2 linked regions of the Ovis aries genome follow. The protein of the gene in region 1 purifies or fractionates together with the protein of each later gene. This does not show direct contact. Links are inferred from orthologs where the notes say so. Each region holds a gene or a part of one and is shown on either strand. Other genes may lie near its edges. The genes, in order: DNM2 and DNMBP.

Evidence for each region.
Region 2: the proteins of DNM2 (region 1) and DNMBP purify together in Homo sapiens (co-immunoprecipitation; 3 studies listed by BioGRID and IntAct, with this or other methods). This does not show direct contact. The link is inferred for Ovis aries from reciprocal best matches to the Homo sapiens genes DNM2 and DNMBP.

The regions. Positions count from the first base shown.
Region 1 is NC_056058.1:13,045,669-13,049,914, forward strand, and holds the start of DNM2 (dynamin-2), read left to right. Parts: upstream 1-1,196; 5' UTR 1,197-1,359; coding exon 1,360-1,520; intron 1,521-4,246. UniProt on the Homo sapiens protein: Catalyzes the hydrolysis of GTP and utilizes this energy to mediate vesicle scission at plasma membrane during endocytosis and filament remodeling at many actin structures during organization of the actin cytoskeleton.
Region 2 is NC_056075.1:20,617,654-20,621,460, reverse strand, and holds the end of DNMBP (dynamin-binding protein), read left to right. Parts: coding exon 1-174; intron 175-1,406; coding exon 1,407-1,592; 3' UTR 1,593-3,120; downstream 3,121-3,807. UniProt on the Homo sapiens protein: Plays a critical role as a guanine nucleotide exchange factor (GEF) for CDC42 in several intracellular processes associated with the actin and microtubule cytoskeleton.

The sequences.
Region 1 (4,246 bases):
TGTTTACACTTTAGTACATGAAAATTTACTCAATTTTGTTTATGGATTATAAACAGTATTTACTTAATGAGCTCCATGGATGAGCAGTTAGGGTATTTCAAGTTTCTGCCACCGTAGTCAAGGCTGCAGTGCCAAACACTGTCAGTCTTGTTGCTTGTCTCTGAGACCTGCAGTTCTGGGTCATGAAGAAGGCAATTCCACTCTGCCATTCTTTCACCCCTTGTTTCTCCATTCCCCTGTTACTGCCTGGCCCAGTCAGACTACTTCCCCACCTCCTTTGCTCCTAACTCCTTACTGAGCTACTTCTCTCTGGCTTAGTTTTCTGAATGTTGAGCTTTAAGCCAACTTTTTCACTCTCCACTTTCACTTTCATCAAGAGGCTTTTTCTTTCCTCTTCACTTTCTGCCATAAGGGTGGTGTCATCTGCATATCAAAGTATATTTGGACCTTCAAAATATGTTGGGACCCCGCGCAGGGAGCTGATTTGCAAGCTCGCGGCTAAGATGCATTTTGAGACTTGTAGTTTTCTTTAGAGCCCAGAAACACAAGTGACTATCAGCACTGAGTCCTACCACTAGGCGGCGCGCGTTGCCGCGTACTGTGAACCTATCCTCTGCTCCAGAAGACCCTACTTGACATACAACATTCACAAACTAGAACGGGGCGGGGGAGGTTTTTTGATGGACAGATACAGCTTTCAATCAGAGTCAAGATTTAGAAGTTAAATCCCACCCTCTTTGACTTGTTGGGTGATAGAAGGGAGTGATATTTATATAAACCAATGGGAAAATTTTAGGGAACTAAATAGAGTCAAGCGAAGAACCGATCCCTAGTATCATTGGCCAGCCTTGTTGATTGGTGGGTCTGCTTGCCAATAAGACTGGCGGATGTTCCTTCTATCCGGGAACACCCCCTAGTAGGCGGGGCCAACATGCCTTTTCCCGAAACACCGCCTCCCGGCCGAGACAACTCGCTTGCCGCTGCTATTGGCTCTTGCACAATAGCGACAGTTCTTGCGCCCAATGAATCAGAGAATAGGCCCCAGGGGGCGGGCTCATTCGGCAATCGGCCCGTGCCTCACTTTCATTGGTTTGTGTGCAGAAGTGACAGCCCAGCCGGCCAATCGGAGTTAGTGCGAGGATTTTTGGCGCAGCCCCAGGGCTCCGGCGGGAGGTCGGTCGGGTCGGGTGTCGCTTGAGAACCGGATGAGGCGGCGACCGTGAGGCCGAGCCGGGAGCGGGCGTCGCGCCGAGGCCCGGGCGGGCGGGGAGCAACGGCCGCGGACGCCGCGGGGCCGCGTCGTTGAGGGACAGGGGCGGGCGAGGAGCGCGGGTCGCTCGGGCCGGGGCCACCGGCGCCATGGGCAACCGCGGGATGGAAGAGCTGATCCCGCTGGTCAACAAGCTGCAGGATGCCTTCAGTTCCATCGGCCAGAGCTGCCACCTGGACCTGCCGCAGATCGCCGTGGTGGGCGGCCAGAGCGCCGGCAAGAGCTCTGTGCTCGAGAACTTCGTGGGCCGGTGAGCGAGCTCGGTGGCGACGGCGGGCGGGCGGCGGCCTACGGCGCGGAGGGCGGACTGGGAATGGCGCGCCCTGCGCCGCCGGCGTAACTGCGGCGCTTGCGTGCCCGCGACCGGGACGGGGACAGGGGGGCGGGCCCTGTGGGACGCCCTGAGTGGAGGGCTCCCTGTAGGGGCTGGGGAGCCGGCCCAGACCTAAGGGGTGTCCCACGCGCTGGGGGGCGTGGGCCAGGAAGTGCAGTGCAAGACCTCTGACTCTCTGGCCCCCAGCTCTAGTGGGTGAATTCTACCATCTGGTTGTCTGTCTGTCCTGAACCTGTCTCCTGGATATTTACTGGGCCGATCCCCGTGGTCTGGCCGGCTGCTCATTGATTTGGAGCAGTTCCTGTCGTCTGGCTTGCTGTCTCTCTGTCCTGGATAGGCTTCCCCGCCACCACCATTTGGCTGTCCATCTGTCCAGGACCGCAGGGCAGCTCCCTGCTGCCTGGCTAGCTAGCCAGAAGGCCCTGTCCTGTCTGGTTGCCCATCCGTGCCCCTCACAGACTTAGCTCTTCCTCTGTTGGGTTACCCAGCTGGCCTGTGCTGTCTGACTGGCTGGCTGGACCCTGGGAGACCCTGTTGTCTGGCTCTCCTGGGCTGCCTCTTCAACTTGGTGCCTGGCGAACGCTGGCTCCTCGCTTCCAAGTGGATCCTTTTGTCTCTGTGTCATGGTGTCAGTCCTTCTCGTCTCCCTGACCCCACTTCTGGGCAGGGGATGAGAGGAGCTTGCAGAAGAGAAGGGGGCTGAAGGGTGAGACTTGAACTCCTCTCCTTTGAATTGGAAGTAGGACCCTGGGGGGCAGACATTTTCCAGGAGTCTTTCCTGGCCCATGTCAGGTTGCCTGCAGGGCCCTGGAACATGGGGACCAGCCCCCAAGCCAAAGCCTGCATGGTGGGGATCCTCCTTGGATCCTGAGAGGAACTTCTGGCCCGATCAGGCTGCAGTGGCAAAAGCTTGGATATAGCCTTCCCTGGGAAGCCCCGAGAAGTTTCAGTTTGCCCATCTGTCCAGTGGACAAATTCCACTCTGGGCTGTTTCCAGGATTCACAAAGCCAATGGAGGAGAATGGGCCCTGTGGCCACTGAGGGTGGTTACCTCTCCCCTCTCCTCCCCCCACCTCTTTTCCTTCTGCCTCCCAGATGGGGGGCCACTTCTGCATTCTGGGAAGGACTCCATTTGCGACTGCGGCTGCCAGATGATAACGTCATGGCGGTTGGTAGTTTACTCGTGAAGTCCTGTGTCTGACTCTTTGTGACCCCATGGACTGTAGCCCACCAGGCCTTCTGGTCCATGGTATTTCCCAAGCAAGAATACTGGAATGGGTTAGCATTTCCTCCTCCAGGGGATCATCCCGACCCAGGGATTGAACATGTGTCTCCTGCATTGCTGGCAGATTCTTTACCGCTCAGCCAGCAGGGAAGCCCTGATAACGTCATAGTCATCATCATGTTCATATTGTTGTTGTTATCAGTGTTAAAGAGGTTCATCCAGCAGCCCCCAAGCTGACTTCTCTCTTGGTTCAGCTCAGAAAAGACTTGCTGTTTGCCCAAGGCCACCAGGCTGGCGCTCAGTGGAGCCCAGCTGGGTGCTCAGCCCCGCCCCGCCTTCACAGTGGCCTAGGGTTTTGCTCCCAGCGGCATGAATTTCCTCCTTTGCTGCTGTGTCCCTGGCGAAATGCCCTCTTTCTACTGTGGCGGAAAGGTGTGGACTTGGGATCAGCCCAGGCTGGGTCCCCTGCTTGGCCATCCTCCTGCCTACCCAGGCTTCCGGTGGGTGTCTGCAAAGCTCTGTCCATTTCATCTGCCTCGTGACCTTGCACAGGTTGTTTGACCTCTCTGAGCCTCAGTTTTCCCACCAGAAAAAGGGCTAATGGACCCTTAACAGGACTTGCAAGGATGTAGTGACACGGTGTGTTAAAAGTGCTTACTTAGCATAGTGCCTGGCACCTAGTGGGTCTCCTTGGAGGGTGCTGTTGCTCACTAGGCTGGTTCCGTTGTGGGTGTGTGTATGCTTAGTTGCTCAGTCGTGTCAGCTCTTTGTGAGTCTGGACTGTAGCCCTCAGGCTTCTCTGTCAGTGGGATTTCCCAGGCCAGGATACTGGAGTGGGTTGCTATTTCTTTCTCCAGGGGATCTTCCCTACCCAGGGATCAACCCTAGGTCTCCTGCTTTGCAGGTGGGTTCTTTACTGGCTGAGCCACCAGGGAAGCCCCGGTTCCTTTCATATCAATAACCAAAGCTAGTCAGAATTAAAGTGCTCTGAAGTTACACATTGGACTTTACTGAAGCCTCATGAGGCTGGCACCGCTATGATCCCATTTTCTAGAGCACAAAACTGAGGCCCAAAGAGCTGAGCATTCTTACAAGAGGTTGTTCAGTGAAGGATCAAGGTCTCTGGGTTGGGGAAACCCAGGGTCTCTCTCCCATCCCCACCTCTCATCGATCCCTCTGTCCCTCACTGTTCCCTCCCAGCCACCCTGGAACCTGGTGACTGCCAGCTGCTACCAAGCTGGCTCCTGTGGCAACCTCCTCCTGAGCCTGCAGCGTGGCATCCGTCATTATGGGCATTGACTCAGGGCTTGAGAACCAAAGCTGTGAAAAGGCCTCTCTTTGGATAGGGGGTTCTCAAACGAAGCCAGCTTCTTTTTACTGATGGAGCGTGGGTAAGGCTCCTCAGCTAAAAGCCCTG
Region 2 (3,807 bases), on another chromosome or scaffold:
CCTGCCCCTACCCTGAGGAACTCCCGAAACTGCAGGCATCCAGAAATGGTTGGTTCCTCCATGTCAGGGCGTAACGGGCAGGGTCGAGACCTCCTAAAAGCAGGCGCAAGAACAGCACTGTCTCTGGATGACAGACATGAACAGCCAGAGAGTAGCGAGGCGGAAGGCAACCAGGTGAGTGCGCTCGGTTTCCATGGTTACTGCGCTGCGTGTGGATGCAGGTGATGAGCGCTCAGGAGTGGGCGAGGCCTGACCCGGCTGGGGGTGACCCTGGAGATGGGCCCACAGATAAATCCTTAAAGGATTTCCAGAAGCTCACTGCTGTGAGAGTGGGCAGCCCCAGTCTTCTGGACCTCCGGTGGCTGATTTCGCAGGCTGTAGTGTTGTGGGGCGTTTACCAAGTGTCACCATGAAGCTTTTCACACTCTTCCAATGCACTTCCAATGATTCTTCCATTGGTATAAAGTCTGCTGTTTAACTCATCTACTTAGCTTCTCATTCAAGTAACTAAATTTCTAGAATTCAGGAATAGAGTTCTGATTCTGTTTCAGTTTTTCCCGTTCTTTTTGTAATGGCCCCTTCTTTGTATCATAAACATTTTAAACCTACATATTTTAAAGCCACTTTCACATCCACAGCTGAGGAATCCCTGGCCACCTGCCCTTGCTCACTTGCAGCAGTGAGTCTCCAAGTGTGTCTTACCTTTGTTGGCGAGCTCTCTGTGGTTCTGACAAGCCCAGGACACACGCCCCAGCTCTGGCCCACCAGCGGGCTGGTGGACATGGACCAGGAAATGACCCTTTCTGAGATTCTGACTTTGTGCAAGGGTCTCCGTTCTGGCCTCATCAGCTCCAGCCCTTGAGCACCCTTGGGTGTGTGTTCACTGTGTCCCTGCGGGCCTCATGGTTCCTCCTCCTGATCACTGACCACCACCCTCACTTTGCATGCTAGCCCTGTTATGGGCACCTAGTGAGCACCCTTTCTTCCTTTGGGATTAGATGTGGGTTTTTTGTTGTTTTGTAAAGATTTTTAAATACAGAATTTCTGTGTATGAAAGAGCATCCTCATGTCTCATCTATCTTCCTTACTGGCTGAAGCTTTTTTTCCCCTTTTAAGGCAACTCTGAAAGAGTAAGTGAATTTTGGTTTTCTTTAAAGCTGTCCTATTCATTATGGTAGCCTTCAGCCATATTTAATTTACATTTAAGTTAGGTAAAGTTAAAATTTTAAATTAAGTCCTTTCACCTCACTGGCTGTTATTTCAAGTGCTCAGCTGCCGTGTGTCTAGGGGCTGCCAAATTGGATGGTCCAGATACAGACGGTACCCATCACCCTGGGAAGTTCTGTTGGGTAGCTTTGCTTTCAGATGTTTCCCATTTCCTAACTCACTTTCTCTCCCTCTCATAGGTCTATTTTGCTGTCTATACCTTCAAGGCACGGAACCCAAATGAGCTGAGTGTGTCAGCCAATCAGAGACTCAAGATCCTAGAGTTTAAAGATGTTACAGGAAATACAGAATGGTGGTTAGCTGAAGTCAATGGGAAAAAGGGTTACGTTCCATCCAATTATATCCGCAAAGCTGAGTACACCTGAGCCTGTTCTGCTTCCCACTCAATCTTGCTGCCTTCACTTCCTTCTGCTGAAGGGTTCTGGTATCCACCAAGAGGGCTCCTGCTCCTGAGACACTAGCCCTGCCACATTGCTTAATTGTGGCACAGTGGTGCATAAGTCTTGTTCTCTTTGATTGGGTTGTCAGCCTTGATGCTCACTAGAATCTCTAGAATTTGAAATGGACCTTGGTGCTTGCAAGTGATTCAGTGACCGTGAAAAGAGAAGCAAGTCCTGGGGTCAGCCTTTGGAAATGAGAAATTTCCAATCAGAAGACCAGTATCCAGTATATGCTAGAAGCTGTGCTATAGCATTAGAAGAAGTTGATGTTGGTTGTGCCATATTGAGTGGGGTGGCCCCATGCTCCGTGATCAACTGACTGGAAACCAACTTGGATGAATTCTCTGGGAGCCCTTTCAGGCTGTGCCTCTGCATGTGGCAAGAAGTTTGTCAACATTGTACCAAATCTGATGTTTCAAAACCTCAGTGTCTGGCACATATTTGCACACACACCCCTTATTTCTAAACATCCCTAAAACACTGCCATCTGTAATCTTTTTCTTATTTATTTCACCACATTTCCAGATTGGGCAAAATTCAACTATTGAGTCAGCTAAAAATGTTCATTTGGGTTTTTTTGTAAGATCCAATGGAAAATCCCAGACGAACTTTCTGGCCAACCTAGTACTTCTTTCTCCTCTTAAAAAATGTTTAGAATCTTCCTTTCCCCTGAACTTTGACATGAAAGGTTCATTTCCCATTAGGTGCTATCCTCCACACCTTGCTGACACCATCTCTATACTGTCTGTGTACAGTAATTTTTCCTGGCTTCTTTCCTGAAGCTGAATAGCTGATAGACTTTCTTGAGAGAACGGGATCGGAGCTCCCACTGTTCCCTTTGGGGGATTCATTCTGCAGTGGGCTGAAGCCAGTCCAGCCCAGAGGGAGGCTGGATGCCTCTCCCCTTCCTCCACACTACTGTCCACAGATGAAGAGACCATAATGCACGTTTATCTCATTTGAATCTGGGTAAACAGTCCAGAAGTAGCTTATCCTAGAGTTGGAAATAAGCGTTCTCTGTTTCATCAGCCCCCGTGCTTCAGAGACCGTGGTCTAAGCCAAACAGAATCTAAAGTGCCTGATTGTACCTCCTCCACCTCAGGAAGATGTTTCCTGATCCTAACACTAAGATTCCCCCCTGAAGTTTGTATGTGAGCAGGGCTCTTATTCTTAAGGTCTGCCCCAGATTGAAAGCCTGCCTTGGAACAGGAAATCATGAATTTTGTCTTGCAAGAAAGGGCATAAAGAACAGCTTACAGCCCTTGCTCCTCCAAATGCACCTTCACCTTAAAGTCATGAGTCAGGAGACACCCGGGGGCTCCTTGGCCACCCCGGGGTCTGCTGGTCAATCAGAAGGCAGCAACGCAAAAGTATCTCGTGAATAGTGTTTATACCTAGAGATGTTTATATTTAAGTAGTTATTTTATAAATAAAAGCATTTCAAGGGCCATAAGTATGTTTTCTTGATTTTCTTCCTGGTTTAGCCTGAACCTTCTTATGTTTCTGGGGGTACCTTCTTGACGATTCAGTGATGCTCAGATTTTAAGAAATGGGAGAGGCTTAAGTGAAGAAACTCAGGTCAGGAATTCCTTTTCAAATATGATTTCAGCAGAAACACTCTATACTCAAAATACGTCCATGCTGCATTTTAAGCCATTTCGTGCAGTAAATCCTAGCAGAACAGAAGAGCTGGGAATTCTTGAGAGGTAAGTATTTCGCAGCCATTATAGATGCGGAAACTGATGCACTAGTGCTGAGCTAACATAGAGTCAGACCGCAGCTCAAGCCAGGTTGGGTGTTGGGAGGGAGAAGTAGCAGGAGCGCTGGCCAAGGGGGTGCCCATGAAGCAGTTGCCTGAGGCTGTTAAGGAATAGAGAACGTGGGTGAAAGGTAGACTCTGGAGAGAAAGCTTACAGGCCAGCGAGGCTCACTTATTTTACGAAGAAGGAAGATGGGGTCCAGTGACATTGTGACCTGCCCAAATCTTAACATCACGTTTTTGATGGAGCCTGAATCTAAACTTGGGTCAGGCTGAGCCTTTCCACCCTGTTCGGAGCCAGACTGACTTCAGACACTCAAGTGCATTGTGACCTTGGCAACTTACCCAACCTAGGCTTCAGCTTCCTTATCTAACATAGAG